Drosophila melanogaster: one gene and its partners. The protein of the gene in region 1 interacts with the protein of each later gene in a pairwise test. Each region holds a gene or a part of one and is shown in the gene's direction. Other genes may lie near its edges.

Evidence for each region.
Region 2: the proteins of CG7443 (region 1) and CG13551 interact in a two-hybrid assay, tested with the Drosophila melanogaster proteins (one large-scale study listed by BioGRID).
Region 3: the proteins of CG7443 (region 1) and CG14207 interact in a two-hybrid assay, tested with the Drosophila melanogaster proteins (one large-scale study listed by BioGRID).

What each region holds. Positions count from the first base shown.
Region 1 is NT_033777.3:8,322,351-8,325,567, forward strand, and holds CG7443 (uncharacterized protein), read left to right. Parts: upstream 1-1,965; 5' UTR 1,966-2,026; coding exon 2,027-2,083; intron 2,084-2,135; coding exon 2,136-2,223; intron 2,224-2,276; coding exon 2,277-2,551; 3' UTR 2,552-2,686; downstream 2,687-3,217. Other genes in the region: Or85a (odorant receptor 85a), read left to right, coding at 1-157, 218-575, 630-704.
Region 2 is NT_033778.4:23,377,417-23,385,347, reverse strand, and holds CG13551 (uncharacterized protein), read left to right. Parts: upstream 1-1,923; 5' UTR 1,924-2,028; intron 2,029-2,225; 5' UTR 2,226-2,250; coding exon 2,251-2,300; intron 2,301-2,588; coding exon 2,589-2,733; intron 2,734-2,756; exon of another isoform or gene 2,757-2,796; coding exon of another isoform or gene 2,797-3,839; intron 3,840-3,893; coding exon of another isoform or gene 3,894-4,089; exon of another isoform or gene 4,090-4,151; intron 4,152-4,909; exon of another isoform or gene 4,910-5,068; coding exon of another isoform or gene 5,069-5,200; intron 5,201-5,261; coding exon of another isoform or gene 5,262-6,011; intron 6,012-6,065; coding exon of another isoform or gene 6,066-6,482; exon of another isoform or gene 6,483-6,775; intron 6,776-7,170; coding exon 7,171-7,299; 3' UTR 7,300-7,482; downstream 7,483-7,931. Other genes in the region: CG30414 (uncharacterized protein), read left to right, coding at 22-235, 301-343, 399-646, 702-1,114; yellow-d2, read right to left, coding at 2,797-3,839, 3,894-4,089; yellow-d, read right to left, coding at 5,069-5,200, 5,262-6,011, 6,066-6,482.
Region 3 is NC_004354.4:19,603,196-19,611,206, forward strand, and holds the start of CG14207 (uncharacterized protein), read left to right. Parts: upstream 1-2,003; 5' UTR 2,004-2,308; coding exon 2,309-2,487; intron 2,488-6,267; coding exon 6,268-6,294; intron 6,295-6,942; exon of another isoform or gene 6,943-6,967; coding exon of another isoform or gene 6,968-7,059; intron 7,060-7,185; coding exon 7,186-7,267; intron 7,268-7,332; coding exon 7,333-7,428; intron 7,429-7,500; coding exon 7,501-7,695; 3' UTR 7,696-8,011.

The sequences.
Region 1 (3,217 bases):
TGGACGTATATCCCATCATATATGTGGTCGTTCTGCGGATCCACATGGAGCTCTTGAGTGAGCGAATCAAGACGCTGCGTACTGATGTGGAAAAAGGCGACGATCAACATTATGCCGAGCTGGTGGAGTGTGTAAAGGATCACAAGCTAATTGTCGAGTGAGGAAGAATGGAATACTCTTTGCAGAATGCCATAATCCACTCAATTTTCCTCATTAGATATGGAAACACTCTGCGTCCCATGATATCCGCCACGATGTTCATCCAACTACTATCCGTTGGCTTACTTTTGGGTCTGGCAGCGGTGTCCATGCAGTTCTATAACACCGTAATGGAGCGTGTTGTCTCCGGGGTCTACACCATAGCCATTCTATCCCAGACCTTTCCATTTTGCTATGTCTGTGAGCAGCTGAGCAGCGATTGCGAATCCCTGACCAACACACTGTTCCATTCCAAGTGGATTGGAGCTGAGCGACGATACAGAACCACGATGTTGTACTTCATTCACAATGTTCAGCAGTCGATTTTGTTCACTGCGGGCGGAATTTTCCCCATATGTCTAAACACCAATATAAAGGTAAGATAATATCATACAAAACCATTACATTTTATTGTAAACAAAATCTTTCAGATGGCCAAGTTCGCTTTCTCAGTGGTGACCATTGTAAATGAGATGGACTTGGCCGAGAAATTGAGAAGGGAGTAATTCGGTTTAGTGCCACAAATTTGATCAACTCAATTTAAGAGAGTAGTTTCACTTGTGCACAATCAATAAATGAAAATATATAGAATGATTATATAAAATTTAAATGTGTTGCAAACATTATGGCAATCTATTAGATATCTGGAAAATCAGTTTGTACTTTCGTTATCATAACTTTTCTGGCAAACAAAGCACAACTGAAACTTTACTATAATAGCTTGCCATTATATGGTGTCAAATGGGTAGCCCTCTTATCTGGAGACTGGAGGAGTCTCCTCCTCCTCCTCCTCCTCTTGGCACCTGCCGCTGGAGCTCGCTGCCCGTCTGAAACTGCCGTCCGGTCCATTACCATTATGGGCAGTTGGAGGCACTGCTGCACATCTGCGCCGTCTTCTAATTTCGAATCGTGTTCCACAACAGCAACTCCAAGTGCAACACGTACTGGAGAGTGCAGCGCCATAAAAACCGCAATAGAGCTCCCGGGTTACTCGTGGCGGCAATCGCAACAAATCAGGAAGGAACCGGATAAAGGAGCGATAATGAACCGAGAGACGGAGTATATCGACCTCGATGCTGCTCCATTCAGGAGGCTATTCGCGACTTACAAGCTCGTTTTCCCGCTGCTTTGATATCGCATTACCATCCCACTTGTTGCCCGACATTATTCCCCGATCCCCCAATCCCCCGACTTCTCCACTCCCCCACTTCCAACGATCCCCGGCTAATGATCCCCAACAGTGTCGAATTTCGTGTACATAGTTTATGGTTATGGATTTGCGCACTTGTCAATTGCAGTTCGATCATAGCTAGAGTACTTGCCCACACTCGGGCTCGTTTCGGAGTCCCAGACAAAGCGAACGTGCAGCTGCATAAATATGGAAAACTGTTCGAAATCGACGGAATCTCCCCTCATTAAAGGTGGTTGTAATAGATGGCATATAACTAGAGATCGACTAGGGAATACTGTTAGTAGCTGCTTAGGAAAAGGTTTGGAATGCGGATTATGCCAAGTTAAATAAGTTGAAAACTCATATATTCTTATTATCATTATTATAGATACTCTAATAATATTCAGCCGATTTTGAATTTTCTGACGTGATTACAAAGTTTACCTATAATAAAGTTTTCAAGCATTTGTACGCGTCTAAGCTCCTGAATACCCACCATAAATTCGAAATAGTCCACTTTTCAGCACTAACAGCCACTAAATATTACAAAATATTGGCTTTAGGTTCTATATAAGTAGGTTTTCTGAGCAACTTTGGTCAGTTGAAGTCGCGATGTCGGCCAGAAGGGATATATTATTCGCAGTGGGCCTTTGCCTTATGTTTAGTTTTCTGAGCATTGAGGCTAGGTCATTGGAGGAAACCTCTGTCAAGACGGTCAGTCGGTTGTACTTATTAAACATATAATAATTTCAACTTTTTGCTTTAGAAACGCGATACCGACTGGTGGACTATCCTCGAGGATATACTCTATGACAATGATAGTGATAGTGATGATGCCGGCGATGAGAACGTTTGTAAGTTGAGAGACCGTCTTGAACTCAGTGACCTTTTGATTTGTTATTCTCAGTGATTTGTCGTAACTGCACGGTAGTTGTTCAAGCTGCTCCAAACGCCACAGCGAATGGAAGCACTGTAGCTCCGCAGGCAGGTGGAGCAGCTCCAGGGAGTTCACCAGGTGCGCCTGCCACTCCTCCTGGCTCGACTCCTGCAGTTCCAGCCACAGTTGCACCCGAAACGCCTGCTCCGTCGGCACCTGCGACATCGCCACAACCTGTAGTAACTGCCCTACCCACAGCTGCCCCACCTACAGCTGCCCCACCCACAGCTGCCCCTGGTGGTTAGATTATCTTATCCTTACCCACACCTTATAACACCTCTCTAACACTAGCTATTAAATGGGATTTGGTATACGATAATGTTGCCCATGGGCTAATAACCCAGCTCAAATAAAACAGACGTTCATTCCGTTTTAGCCATAAATCTGTGCGGTTCTCATTCCCAGGCACTTTGAATCTTCAAAATATTGTAACGCAATTGTCTTGACATAAGTCACAACAGATCGGCTGGCACTCGCCACAGACCCACACGCATTGAGGATCGAGTCTGGTGGCTAGGGAGCCAAGTCGGTGGTTTTTGTTCACTCGGTCTTTTAAGATATGTGGCGGCGAAAGGAGCAGCTCCGGTTCCCCCTCGACGGGCACGATGGCATTCCCAACATGACATTCTGTTTGACATTTGTAATCTCGTGATCGTTAATTATTTACGAATTGAGTTACACGACGAGATGGTCTGTGTGCGGTTCCACAATATCCAGCGCCAGCCAGAAAGACACGAAGTGGAGTCAAAGATCATGGAAGCGACAAATATAGTTGAATCCTCCAACACATGTCACAGTTTCTTCCGTAGATATGGAGGTCTGAATAAAATGAATCTGTATCCAAATCGTAAGCTTTAATTGAACTTCCTTTAGTTCAAATGTTCAAATCTTTATTTGCTTCTTTTCAGTTT
Region 2 (7,931 bases), on another chromosome or scaffold:
TCGCTCCATTACCGCGAAAAGATGAAGTTCATCGCAGCTGGATTAGCTCTTCTGGTCTGCTCCATCCAGTTGGGTGAAGGAGCACCTGGTCACCTGCTAGACTCCAGTTGTGGCACGACAAAACCAGAATTTATCCCAATGATCACCGGGGGCGCAGACGCAGGCCTATTCTCAAATCCATGGATGGTGAAGGTGCTAGGCGAGAAACTATGTGGTGGCTCGCTAATCACCAGTCGTAAGTATTCAAATGTGGCCCACGAATGAGTTCTTTGTCCAGTCACCTGCTGCTAATACTTTCAGGCTTCGTTCTCACGGCCGCCCATTGCATCGTTAGTACACACATGTAAGTGAGGCAGCACTGTCTTTCGGCGAACACTTACGAATTCCCATTTCCACAGGAGAGTACGCTTGGGCGAGTATAAAACCCGCTTTCCTGGCAAGGATTGCTCGCGCTGCGTGCCCAAGTCATATAAACTCAGGAGAATACGCTTGGGCGAGTATGACACCCGCTTTCCTGGCAAGGATTGCTGCGTGCCCAAGTCATATGAACTCGCTGTGGATAGAAAGATTTTGCATGCGGATTATAACCTAAACTTGGACAACGACATCGGCCTGTTGCGCATGAAGAGCTTCGTCCAGTACTCAGGTAATGAGGTGGATCCAGCAGCCAGGGCTCCCTAAGCAGTGGACATATCTTTCAGACTACGTCCGGCCGATCTGTCTCCTGGTCGAGGGACACATGGCGGAAAGTCCCATCTTCAACATCACCGGCTGGGGTGTCACCAACGATGGCACGCCCAGCCGGAGGCTCCAGAGGGCCACTGTGTACAACACCGACCTCCACTTCTGCCGAAGCAAGTTCACCAAGCAGGTGGATGAGTCGCAGATTTGTGCTGCTGGCACAAATAGCGATGCATGCCACGGCGACTCGGGAGGCCCGCTGAGCGCACAGGTTCCTTTTGCCGGCAGCTGGCTGACCTTCCAGTACGGACTGGTCAGCTACGGGTCGGCGGCATGCCATTCCTTCTCCGTTTACACCAACGTTACGCACCACAGGGACTGGATTGTGAACGCCATCGAAGACTTCAGCAGAGCTTTCCAGCTTAGACTCTAGCTACTCATAATAACATTTCGTTGGCTTTTCTAAGAAAATATTATCAATCCAAAATATTATCTCGAGTGGTTTAATGGCTCCCCTGACTTCTGTCGTAGACGCCATTCGGGTCAATAATATCTGCATTAGTATTTATGTACATAAGCGAAGCTTATCTTCAGCAAATTTTAACGCTATACGCAGCGAAGCCTCGCTTTGACTGATTCCCCAGAATTCTGGGGAAAAACCGAACCCTTGGAGAAGGTTCACTTCTACACCCTCACTGGCTGGGGTCACACCGCAGACTATAAGCCCAGCCGCATTCTCCAGGAGACCACTTTGCTTGCGCTCGAACAATCGTGTTGCAACAGCAACTTCAACATCGAAGTCGACCAGTCCCAAATCTGCACCACTGGCGTGGACAGCGATGCCTGCGGTGGGGATTCCGGGGGCCCGCTGAGCGCGAAGCTGCTCTTCGGGTTAAAGAAGCGGGCTTTCCTGCTCGGACTCGTCAGCTACGGGGATGCATCCTGTAGGATCTTCGAAGTGGCCACGAATGTGACGCACTACGTCGACTGGATTAAGGCAACAATCGACGAGAACTCAAGTTAAAGCGTTAAAGCGTCAAGTTAGAGTCCAAGTCGATTGAGAATTTAAATTTGTTGCTAGTAAGAAATCTGCAATTGAAATATTAGTTTACCATGATTAAGTAAACAACAGAAGAAGCTTAGTTTTATTTGCAGTATGCAAAGGGTATAAAGCGTTATCGATTAAAATCGCAAGCTCACATATTCGATAGACCACGCCGACTGTGCTCGCTCTGCCGCGAAGGTATTATTTAAGGGTGCGCCTACGGTCACTCTGCAGAAAACTTTTGTCGTCGCAAAAATGTAAGTAATGTTCAAGCGCGCCGCACTTTTCCGGCATTAAATCTAGTATGTGCATTGGGTATTCGTGTATATATTTTATACAAACAACAAACAAAGAACTGGCTAAAAATAGCGGCTCTTTTATTGCGACTTGGTTTTCGAAAAAGTTCAATGCACTCCGTTTTGTTAAGGAGACGGCTTTACAGTTACTCTTCGTAATGGAGTTTTCTCAATAAATTGTATTTTCTGCGCTTCTCTTGCAGCTAAACTACTCAAGAATCAAACAGAATGTTCGTTGTACGTCGTAGCGCATCTCGTCTGTACCCCGCTGGAGTCCAGTGAGTTTCTACCCACATTTAACCCCCGTTCATAACTACCTGCTAATTGGCTTACAAGACTTAACAGAGCACTCATATCTCATTCGCCATATTCAAAGTGTTATGTATGCCCCCAACTTACACTTTCCTCAATGTTCGATAAGATAAACAATTCCGATCCCATCGAAATCGCTTTCACCCTGCGCGCATGTGTGTGTGTGCAGTCTATGCTGACTTCACTCCACTGTTGCGTAACCGCACAAAACCAGAAGATTCTAATGGTTCCCACCGCCATTTTCCGCTCCACAGGCTGGCCAAGATGAGCGGCAGCCAGGTGGGCGACCTAGGCAGTGGCGCCGGCAAGGGAGGCGGCGGCGGTGGCTCTATCCGCGAGGCCGGCGGAGCCTTCGGCAAGCTTGAGGCTGCCCGCGAGGAGGAGTACTTCTACAAGAAGGTGAGTGACCCAGAAAACAACTTATTTCATCATTAGCTTTATTGAGCAGCAGCGGGAAGCGACTCAGTTGCAAGGCCTGCCGCTGAGCAGCTCCTGAACACCGCACTTCTGTATGCGAAAGTTTATCTCCTTGTAGTCCAGACCCGCTCCGAAGGCTTTCTGCAGCCGATTCGACAGCACCCACAGTTCCTCCTTGCCCTCGTGGTTGCGCACTATCTTGAGTCCACTGGCGAACTGCAGTCGCTGCTCATCCTCCACCAGCATGACCAGATTCTGATGGCTGTAGCCGGTGCGAATGTTCCAGGCCAAAAGGCTGGCCGGCTGGACCAGGCCGCAGATCAGAAAGCCGGACTCGCTCATGGCCGCCGCAACGCATTGACTTCCCCGCTTGCCCAGCAACTGGAACTGATCCAAGGCAGCGCTCACATCGTTCAGCCGCCAGTTGCTGCCGTTGTTGACCACATCCAACGGAATGGCCATTTGCCACTCGCTGGACAGAGAGTGGAAATACATCATCCGCCGGCCACCCAAGCCGTGGGGCGTTAGAGTGGTAGACACCGTGCCGTCCCACAGCTGGAAGCTCTCGCCTGCTATCGTGAATGTGCCGAAGTCTGGATGAGGATACGTAAACTTGTTCTCAATCCGCCACGACTGCTGGGCTGCCACGTCATACACCACAATGCCGTCTCCAATGGAGTCCGCCATGTACACGAATCCCACATCGCAGTTGTGCGGATCCAGCTCCACGGTGGGCGTGACAAAGCGACTCACGCCCTCCTTGTACAATCGCTTGGGCATCTTGTACTGATGCGCGACTTTTCCGCTTTCCAAGTCAATAGCGTACAGCTGCGGCGGGCAGTGCTGAATGAAGTCGATCTCGCCGCTGTCCAGGATCCACATGCGCCCGCACTCGTCTATCTGTGTGCGGTACACCGAAGTCAATCCATTGCAGTCGGCTCCGTGGGATTTGTGCCACTCGTAGCTGGGATAAGCCTGCAGGAGAGTCCCGTTCGGTCGCATTTCGTTTGTGACGTAGGCCAGAGAGTATGGAACGCCCTTGGCAAAACGCGGAATGGTCACGAATATCGAGGGTGTGGCATCGCCATCTAAATGAGAGAGCAAATTAGGTAGGCTTTTGTGCTGAAATGGAGAACTCCTACGCTTGTAGTAGACGTCCACATCGATGGGGATCACGCTGCCCGGATCGTATAGTCCATCTCTCAGCGCGCGCTGTCTTTCCTGCGGCGATGGAAACTCCAGCTCCAGATTGTAGGCTCCAAAGACACTTTCCAAGGCCTGGGCGGATGCTGCCAGCCAGCACCAACAGCAGACACCGAAGACAATCCAACGCTCCATGCCGTAATCCTTTCACTTTCGCGACAACTGTTCCACTTAAACACCGAGCGGATACTGCACATGCGCGTGGAGCTGCGGGCCCATGTCTTTCTAATCCAGCCAGCCACTCAGCAGGCTAAGCGGGTCAGCTTTTGTAACTGGTTTAATTGCACACCCAAAACTCTGTGCACTGAAATTCTGGTCGAGCCATGGCAGTTTGTTTACTGTTCACTGGTGTCCACCTCGGAAAACAAGTTGCTGGTGCTGGTATTGGCTAATTATGCACGCCGCCACCCATTTGGACCGATTGCTCGGTTCGTCGCCCCATTAAGTGTGATCCATTATCCAGTCAGTACAATTTAGTTCCCAATCCAGTTCCAATCGATGCTGCTGATGCCCGAAACGGTTAACGTCACTTGATGGCGCTGAATCAGGTCTAATCTTAAGCCACTGCGGCTTCTACTGGCCAGTGGGATTCGTGCGTGACTAGACTGTTGCTTGGGAGTACAGACTTGGGGCGATAACAAGTGACCCTGAACTTTGCCACAAATTGTGTGGCGCAAGAAATTTGAAAATCAAAATAATACAGTAAAGCTTCGGACGCATGCATTCATAGGCCAAACATATGTAGAAGAAACTCCAATTCTTCCATTTCTCACAATAACTTTTATCAACTTTTATAGTCAACATTTCTTTGAAAGTTTGTAACCGAAAAGTTAGCTTTCTCAAATCAGGTTCATCGTTTTATGCGCATTTATATGGTTTGTTAGCAAAGTAAATTTAAATATTTCGCTGTCGTAAAATTTAAATTATTCAAGGGAATGAGTACCACAAGATGGTTAATATTTACACGTCATATATATTTCTTAGGCTTTGCGGAATCTTTACAATTTCAGATAGGCTGTTATTAGCACTTAGGCGGAATTCGCAACGATCCCCCAGTGAAGTGCACAACAAAACTAATATTTACATATATTAATTAAGTGGATTTGCTAAGTCACTAGCTAAACACCAGGCGATTGGTTAGATCCTCGTCGTTGGAGAAGAAGACGCCGCCCTGGACATCATCCAACTTGCGGCGCAGGATGCGGAAGTTGACCTCCTTCGAGTTCAGCGTACCTGCGGCGATTTTCTAAGGGAACAATCGTAACAATCAGTTTACGGGGCACACAAAAGCCTGCTGAACATCAAACCTGGTAGCGATTGGAGAGCATCCAGAGTTCCTCCTGCCCTTCGCGGTTCCGCAACACCTTCATGCCGCTGACGAACTGCAGGTCATCGGACTTGGCTGGCAGATTGCCAAAGTTTCGCGAATTGTACGGCGAGTTCACGTTCCACACAAAGAGCTTGACGGGATTGAAGGTGACGCAGTAGACGTTGTTCCTGCCATCGATGGCGGACGCGGCGCACTCGCTCCGCCGCCTGCCTAGCAGCCTGAACTCCTCCGGCAGAGCCTCCGGCCCGTTGGCCCAGTTCTGCTGCCGGTTCAAAGCACTCAGTGGCACGGAATACTCACTTGCACTGGCCAGCGGATGGAAGTAAAGATTGCGCTTGTCGTTGTTCAGTGCAAACATGCCGTCCATCAGGTAGAAGCTCTCGCCTGCTATGGTGTGCTTGCCGTAGTCCGGATCGGGATACATAAAGCGGTTCTCAGCCCGCCATGATGTCTGCGCCTGGTGGTCGTAGACCACCAAGCCATGATAGCTCACATCGGCCACATAGATCATGGTGCGACTGCAGGTTCCCCTAGGCGGAGGATCCTGGACGAGTACATTTGGCGTGATGAAGAGCGATCCACTCGGGATGTATGTGTCGTTCGGGAAGCGGAAGCGATGCAGCAAGCGATCGGTGGCCAGGGCGAACTGCAGCAACTGCGGCGGACACAGCTGGGTGGTTCCAATCACACCCGAATCGATCACCCACATCTGGTTGCACTCGGTGATCTGGAAGAGATTCAATGTAGAAAAAACTTAGCTGTCCGAACATTTTACACTTACAGCCACTCTGAATGCGGATGTTATGCGATCGCAGTCCTCGCCGTTGGCATTGTGCCAGGAGTAGTTGGGATACGGCTGCAGCAGCGGGCCATTCCTGCCCTGCGTCGCTGAAACGGTGGCCAAGGTGTAGGGAATGCCCGTCACGAAGCGCGGAATAGTGGTGAACAGCCTGATCTGGCCATTGGCCATGTACTGTGGCTGCACATCGATGGGAGTGCCGTTCTCGGGCACCAGATTACCCGCCGCCTGAGCGTTCTCCCGATCCTGCGCCGTGGGAAATCCGAACTCCAGCTGGCCCCACTGCGTCAGCGTTTCTACAGTGCGCACGGGACGCGGTCCATTGACACCGACGCCATAGCTCTGGGCTAGCGTCAGCGAAAAGGCGATCAGCAGTATCCGGAGGGGCATCATAACCATTCCGCAGCAGAGTCGGATGGTAAATGTTCTGTTCGAACTAAGGGCAGCTGCTTATCAAGCAAGTTGGTTCCTGAGGCGTTGATAAGTGGCAGAGAGGCAGGCAGGCTGGCTGGCGGAGATCGAAGAGTGTGGACCGCGGCCTGGCTTTGTCTACTTGTTGACGACCAATTAAGAGCAAGGGTCTGTTGATATTTGGCCAGATGCGGCCTAACAATGCGGAATAATTTAATACGGTGACCCCGATCTAACGACACTTTCTTCGACGTCTCACTTCGGTAGCCAACTATCAACTGAAAACAGGCTTTTTAGCTTGGTGGCTTGAAGACGAGCAGGCAGAACGGCAGACAATGATTCAGGTTCATTGGCGGCAGGTGGTTTTCCCCCGATCTTTTTCGCACTCTTTACAGACTTCCGTCGACTGTTTGTCGTGGTCATTCAGGCGATATCCGAACTTTTTGTCTGCCCGTGTGACGGGTTCGGTCTGAAAATTGTTAACCAAATATTGTCTCTTGTAGTAAAGCCTCTTATATGGCTGGCAGCTAATGATGACAGTCGATCAATATTGATGGCAAGCTTCAGGGGTGGGCGGGCTTAGCTAACCAGCAATTAGCTTTTTACGACTTGCTAGCACTAATTGTATTTCGCACCGGCTAATCGAGAGAATCCATCATTGTTCGTTTCGTTGCAGCAAAGGGAGCAGCTGGATCGCCTTAAGAACGACCAGATCCACCAGGCTGAGTTCCACCACCAGCAGATCAAGGAGCACGAGGAGGCCATCCAGCGCCACAAGGAGTTCCTCGAGAACCTGCACAAGTGAGCGGTGATCCATCCACCGGCAGAAGGCGACCGCACGGACGGATGAACTCGAGACATTTACTAAAATGCATTTCACTCTCTTTTGTATGTTCCCAAGTGCTCACTACCACTTACCAGTAACCCAAAAATTATATATGTATTTGAAAAGTGCGTAATAAACCATCCATATTTTGAATGCTTTAACTAGAAGCTCATCTTTAGCTCGTGCTGGAACAGGTTACTAAAGTTTATGGCCGCTTCGTTACAGAACCAAAGCAATAAAGTTCGTTGATGTGTTTCTTTATAAGTTATTTTTCAATTCCTCTTCGTTAATAACTAAGGCCTTATCGCCTGCCGTTATAATCGACTAAAAATCAATTAACTTAAAAAGAATAACAACTTGTAAAAAATAGAATTTATGAAAAGAGTGTATATTTCACGTACAAGAAAACACAGTTATACGAACTATTGCGCGGTTTTTATAAATAAAGAAGTGCAATTTAAACGTATGCTGCATTATCTTCGAATAAAAACAAACTGTAGGGTGCTTAACTAAGCGTTTTTGCCCACAACATGAGGATTCCTCAAACACGAGCGGCTACTTAAAATGCTAAATCATTGCATAATTAGCAAGTTTGACCAGCTTTCATTCAG
Region 3 (8,011 bases), on another chromosome or scaffold:
GAATTTATGAAATCAAACAAAATTGATTTGAATGATTTGAAAAGGCACAAAATACAATTGAATTAAGACTGAAACGTGCACGAATGTGCAAACTTGGAATCCTCTTTTCAAAAATTAATTTTGTTTGAATACCGATATGTATGCTTTGTGGGGACACTGGGGACTTCAAGGTCGAGATTATTGATGAAAATGAGTTTGTTGTTTGGACAGGGGGCATTAGCCATTAGCCATTGCGAGCATGTGGGCGCTGTGAAAAATACATATGTACATATGTACACATGTATGTATGGATGTACAATGAAAACACCTCAGCCGTTAAGCCACGATGATTGTCGTTTTATTTTCGAAATTCGTGATTAAGTCTATAATTATTTTGATGGCACAACTGCCGTTGTCCCCGATGGAATTTCGAGCAGTAAAACGGTCACGGATTCAAAATATTGCATTTTAATATGTCGCACTTGCACTTAAAAAAAAAAAACAAAAGAATGTAAGTTATGTGCAGGCAATAACAGCTTTAAAAGATATCAAATTTCCAGCTAATGAGTTTTCTTATGGATGAGAGATGCAATTGTTAAGTTGAAGAAAAATCTAGTTTGTCTAGCTAAATATGCATATGGTTCATAAAACTTATGAATATATATCGCACATTTTTTCTGCAGTTGCAACTTTGCAATCCGGCTCTCATTAATTTCAATTTAAATTTTAATTCCCCTGGCCGACGCTCCCTAAAAGGAATTGAATCGAATCGAATGGACTCGACTTGGCTCGATTCCCGATTCTCGACTCCGACCGCCAATGTCACGCGGCTGAGTCATTTCGCATTTGTTTACAAACAAACCGATGCGGCGGAGTGGGTAGTACCATGGATATGGCCAAGCACACTGGCAGAAAACGACACAGATACTAAGATACTATAATGCCTCTCTGTTAGATTAGGAAACATATCCTATTATAGCTAACAAGCTTACAACAGTACAATTTCCAATCTTAGCTCAGCATAGAGATATTTAAATTTACATATGTATATATGACATATATTTTTCTGCGTGTATTTGGGCCGCCAACGTTCTCCACCCACCCGGTCTAATATTGGGATTTATCGATTCGCACAATGGGCGGAATTGGCTTTTTGATTTAAGGTCTTAATGATGATGAGCTCTGGGTGTAAGTAACCCCGCGAATATGGACAAGATATCGTGGGCCATCACGCCATAGATGTTCTATTTTAGGACGATGGATAATGCCAACCCACCGCAGGACGGAAAATGCACTTTCCACCAATGTGCAACTCTCTCTCTCTCTCTCTCTCTTTCTCTCTATACCGAAGATCATTTCCCAAAACGGTAGGAAGCGTTGATCGGTTAACCGGTTAACTCAACACGACTCATACTCACACTTTCCACTCGCACTCACAGCACACAAATGCTGAACCAGATGCAATTGGAATCACAGTTCGAGGAACTCACTTCCATGACTGAATGGCTCCCACGCGAGAAGTTTTAAGCATACTTATCAAGATCAAGTTGATCATCAACTAATTAATTGTTGCTAATTGAACACTTGTTCCTAGAAAGTTTTTTAGGAGCTTTGAAATGTGTTATGTTATTTCATTGCATTTATGAATTACTAGCTTATTAACGGAAAATAAATCATGGCTTCCTTGTTTTCGGTCATTTTGTATAAACCAAATTTGTCTTACAACTATTGTTTCACTTCTAAATGTGTTCCCCGTGCGTCATTATTTCCATAAAATACAAAATCAATACAGCGAATATAGTGTTTTGGGTGGTCCGCTAACGATTAGTGGTTAAAGTACGCTTAAACAATTCCCTTTGCGGATAGAAGTTCTTTTTGATCCAATGGCAATAGAAACATAATCAAATCCGCAAATCGATGACTAAATGCGGCTTCATCGGTCTATCGATATCGCCACACTGCTGCGCAGCGGCAATCGAAGTACAATCGGTACGAAAGCTATAAAAGCAAAGACACACTGTGAATGCAAAACAGTTCAGAAATTGAAACGCGGCTATCTGTGCGATACGTCCAACCGAAATCACACACTTGAACGTCTTGAGTTTCGAATACATATAGAAAACCCATCGAGTTCCCTTTTTTTTTGGTTGCTCCGTCGATTAGCAAGTGAACAAGCTCGAAAGCGCGTTGAGCAGAACAGAACAGAACAGAGAATAATAGAACGGTATACAGTATATACAGTATATACGGTATACAGTGTACAGCGAAGAGATTGGAGATTCCATCTAGCGAAGCAACCACCAAATAAACCACCACAAACAGCACAACAATGGCCGAGGCTAACAAGAGGAATATCCCCATCAAGCTGGGCGACTTCAGCGTCATCGACACGGAGTTCAGCAACATCCGCGAGCGCTTCGACTCCGAGATGCGCAAAATGGAGGAGGAGATGGCCAAGTTCCGTCACGAGCTGATGAACCGCGAGGCGAACTTCTTCGAGTCCACCAGGTAAGCGTAATAGTGATACAAGTGGGATCCCAACACTGGGATAATTCCACATAGCCTGATTCTACCGGGTGTACTGCGATGGAACCCAATCCCGAATCGCTCGACTCATCGCCTCGTTGTTGGCTCCTCTAAATATAGGCGCACATCTTGCCACATCGCCCACTGGTCTGGAGCTCTTCACCCACAGATTCTCCTACGTATGTACATATGTACATACGTGCATACATACATATGTATGTACTAAACAGTGGGCCTCATAGGAGGCGAGCGGCCCGCTTCAATTCTCGCCCCAGATACACTATGTGTATTTCTTTGCCGTCGCTCTGGGGGAGGATGAGTCACCAGTTCTAAATTCTCCGCCGCTGTCTCCGGCCAAGAAACACATGTGTATCTGCTGCCCGCCACCCGCTAGTAAATCCCCCTCCCCCGCCCCGGCACATGGCTAGCCAGCGTCTTGTGCCCTCCCCTTTCGCTCGATCTCGAGTCCCATACGGTTTATGCAACCGTTATGTAGGGCATAACGGAATTTTTCGAACTTTGAGAATCACCTGTGCCAAGATATTCCGTTATATGTGTGTGTGTGTGTGGGTTTCTAGCTGAGCAGAAAAATGTAATTGTTGATAATGAGATAAGATATTAAAATCTGGTCTCTGCGAGCAAAATTAAATATTTGAAAACGCAAAGCATTGAAACGATCGGTGGCACACATGAATAATGTTCATTAAATCTCTAACTATTTCCATTTGTAGTTACTTGTTTTTAAAGCATACATAAGTGACAAACGCGTTTACCTAGCAATCTATTTCCATTTGCAAGTCAATTAAGTGATTCGGCGGTATTTTAACACCCTCGCATATTCATACGAATCAGAGAGAGGGAGAGAGAGAAATTCCAGTTGAATGTTACGAGTGGCATTTTCAATGAACATAGGTTTATTGCCCAAATCAGCGATTAATAAACAAACAATGCCCCAAAGGCGAATGGCAAATACTATGTCGCCGACGCCGTCGCGGTTGCGCGTCTCGTTAGCCTTTCCATTGGAGTTGCGTTGCGTGGGCGCCAGTTTTGGTTGCTATTGGGACGACCTCGCCGTATGACGCAATCGAACCGATGGACTCTATTTGTTGTTGCCTTCGCCATGGTCGCCACTGCATTTGCATGGCCACAACAGAAATGTTACGACTCCACCCCCCTCCCCCCCACCAGACTTCCGTCTGTTTCAGAACTTGGTAGCGCTCCTCTCCACAACTTTGCCCATTCAACGTCAAAGTTGGCAGTGAAAGGAAATTAACCCAAATTGGTATTGTGCCCTCCTGGCTGCAAATTTAATTGGAAATGAAGGGAAACTCACAGTGGCGGCATAAGTTGTGCGCCAGGGCTTGCTTCGGGCGATTAGCCTAATAATCGCCACAGATTGGCCACGTAGTTTAGTAGCTTAGTAGTAGTATTGGATATATACTTGCCAAATAATTCAATCATTCGCCCATAACTGCCCACTGTCCGCAACCTTTGACCTAAGCGGCTTGGCTGTGGCTGTGGCGTGTTGTCAATTGAAGCGCTGCGTGATATCTGAATGACTCAGCACGGAATAAACGCACGCCCCATATACAGGGCAATAAATCCATACAGGTAGGTGTATCTATGCCCTACCGAAGTTGCCACTTGAAGCAATAGTTTATGCTTTTAACTGGATACATTCCCAACAATGTATATTTTATTATTATGGCATAAGAAAAACATGTTTACAAACATGCAATTCCTGCGTAGCTGCCAAAAGCTGTTCAGGCCATTTGCACATTTTAAATAAAACTTTCTTGAACATATGTATGTATATACATACATATGTGTATGTATGTACGTACTGTCACATACTAACGATAGATTGTGTGTAGTGCAGGGCCTCATTTAACCAACTTGGCCATAAGCAAAGACCGCACATCAATGCTGGCGCCTTCAGATATGAACAATGTGCGGATTCAGATGGATTTGGATGCGGTTCCCAGTAAAATAGATTGGTGCGATTATCTCATGCAAATGCATGGAAATTGTATTGGCCAGATCGGATCGGATGGGATGGGATGGCTACCAAACATAGGCAATGCCAACGGTTTGCCTAATTTATAGACTCATTGTGTGTGCGCACAGTTTAAACAAATAAGTGCGCTAGGATCGTACATACATACATACATATGCACATATTTAACCAGCAAATAGATCTGTGCGAAAAGCTTTCGCACACACGGACAGTTTTCAGTTGCGATGAGCACACGCTGCGGCGATTTAGTTGCCAATATTGTTGGCTGGATGCTGATAATTCAAATGAGCAGCGAACTGCGATGATATCATGTCAATTTTTAGCTATTGCGCTGCGCTTCGACTCGATGCTATTCAATTCGATTTCAATCGATGACAAAACGCCGATCGTCGTCGATAATCGATATTTTAATTCGACATTTGTTCACACACACACGCACACACGCGTACACCGCAAACAACTAAAGAGAGCCATTTTGTTTGCGCTTGTTCTGGTTTTTTGGCCGCCTCTCGCGCCCGTGTTTATTTTCGTTCTTCTTTGGTTTCCTTTCGTTTGGCTTTTCAATAACGAAAAAATATGCATGACATCATTGTCATCAGATGCCAGCGAGATATTGTAGTCGCACCACACACACACAACTCACACACATGTAAAAACGTGGGCTGGCCGGAGAGGGTGGGAGTGAGAGCGGCTGCCAGAGTGGGAGGGCAGGTGCCTCTTCATGCTGTCCAAAGAAACTTTGGCCAGGCGGCTAACGGTTATTGGTACTTATCATTAGCGCGCTATTGATTTCTCTCTTCGAGGGGCGATCAACCTCGCAAAGCACATTGCAAGGTCGCCAATAAGCCCACGCACGTTCACGTTTCGGCTCCGATTGATAAGCTTTCTCTGCCTCTGCTCAGAATTTGCGGAGTGCCAATTGATGGCCGCTTATCAACGACTCTCGCTCGCATGCACACACACACAGATACACACATACATTTTGGCTTCATCGCCGACACGCACAGCGGCTTAACGGTCAATCAAATCCCGTAAGCTAAGAATGCAAATTAAGGTGAACCATAAAAAATATTTAAAAAAAAACGACTTACCTATCAATTGATGTGAGAGTGAAGTGAAGAATACAATATTATTTAAAATGAAATCACAAAATTTTAATAAGTGTAGATTTACTAATTTGAACTAAAAATAAAAATTATTGTGAAAAAGCAGTGCGACAAAATGTAATACAAAGTGAACAATTATGGACCAATGAATTATTTCCTGGGTAAATATGTAAATATTTTATGCATACTTTCCTCTATTGTAGGTAATATACATATTCTTTTTTTTTAGATGCTATGCTTGAAACACTTGGATCTTAATAGATAAACTTGCATTCTAAAGGAAATTGGGGACTGGAAGTGCGGAAAACAAAGGAGTTATCATTAATATATGTACATATGCATAAGAAACATGTACCAAAAATGATTAAATATTAATTACAAGAAAACATATGAATGGCTTGAAATTTTCATTGATCATTGTTAAAAATTCCAGAACTTTAATATCGAGTCAAGGCTGTACCTTTATAAAATAGTTAAAAAATTGCTCACCCTTGTACGATAATGTGTAGTTATCTTTTTGTCTAACTCATTATAAACAATTTCTATCTATTTTTCTCTTTCTTGCCGCTTGGAAATATTAAACAACCGCAATAATTTCCACATAATAATAATCTCCTCTCCTCTCTCTTAAAACAAAAGCTCTACTAAAAAAACAACAACTACCAGGTACAATAACGTAGAAAGTTTACAACCTAAACTTTTATTTTCTGTTTATCCTCAATGTTTTTTTCATTCACTCAACCCCTTATTGTTTGGTAACTAATGTATTGGTTTAATGTTATTGCAATCCACACAGACTAAACTAGAAACTCGTTACCAGATGCATCGCATGTTAATCGCCAAATATACACTATAACATTTATTTATAAACAATTTTGAGCCCGGTATAGACGCAAATACATAACTAGAAATGCATACAGTTCGTTTAAAACTAAAAGATAAAATTATAAAAGTTGTAAGTATAGGCAGTTTTTCATAATAGAAAACCGTTTTGATGCGATCCATACATACATATGTACATACATAGATACATATGTATGCATACAATTTCAAGGAAGCAAGGAATAGTTTTATTTGTAGTCTAGATACATGAAGCCTTAATTCTCAATTCCCTTATGGGTAGTTCCTTAAAATAGAAATTATTACAGACATATGGGGAGATTTATGTTTCGAGGGTGACAGCTGCTGCCCCCAGATCCGTACACATGTACATACATACATACGTACATCGCTTTCAAGCGGAAGCCAGATCTATTATTAGACAGGCGTCGAGCATCGCGGCTTCATTTAAGTTGGGTTCGTTACGTCCGGATCAGTTTCATCCCGGAGAAGCATCAGCATGGAGGCCTTTACGCGCACACTGCAAAATACCTTTCGCAGCACTAGGACCACCAGAACCACTACTACAACAACCACAAACTCCTCCACCAGGTTCCTACCTCACCTACGCAACCCTAACACCTTTGGTTTTATTTCGAGTCTACTTGTTCTTAAGTTTCGCTTCAACACTCAACTGCAATACTCATGTACAATATGTTCGTCTCAACTTATTTGCAGCTCAACGACAAACTCGGCGCTGCCATCCCGAATCCCAAAGCAACAGAACTACGTCTCCGACATTAGCTCACCCTTGATCCAGGTAAGCAATGCAAGGAATCTACTCTTGGTTGCCAAAGGATAACACTTATATATCCCCCTTTGCAGGATGAGGGCGATAACAAAGTGCTGAAGCTGCGTTTCGATGTCAGCCAGTATGCGCCCGAGGAAATTGTTGTGAAAACCGTCGACCAGAAGCTATTGGTAAGTCTCTGCTCAGGATGGTTATGTTTTGCAGAGTTTATCTAACATGGATATCTGATTCCTTTCGACTAGGTGCACGCCAAGCACGAGGAGAAGTCGGACACAAAGAGCGTGTACAGGGAGTACAATCGGGAGTTCCTGCTGCCCAAGGGCGTCAATCCCGAGTCCATCCGCTCGTCCCTCAGCAAGGACGGAGTCCTGACCGTGGACGCCCCCCTGCCAGCACTCACCGCCGGCGAGACACTGATTCCCATTGCGCACAAGTGAAGGCCAGCCCAGTTGTCCAGTTGTCCAGCTATCCAGTCACCATGGTCCCAAGCCGGTTGAGGAGCAATAGGCGCAGGAGGAGCAGGAGGAGTGCGAGCTGCTGCCGATCAGATTAAATCCATACACACATTGAGTTTAATCCAATCCTATCTAAATGATTAATTTTTTTGGTTCTGACTTAAAGCTAAACTATGTTACTGACGTACTACTCATTAACTTAAATATAATTGAAATTATTATTAAATTTGATTAATTTAATTCATATTTATAATTTTCGCATTAAACGTAATCAATTTTGCCGTAGTTGCCCCCCATT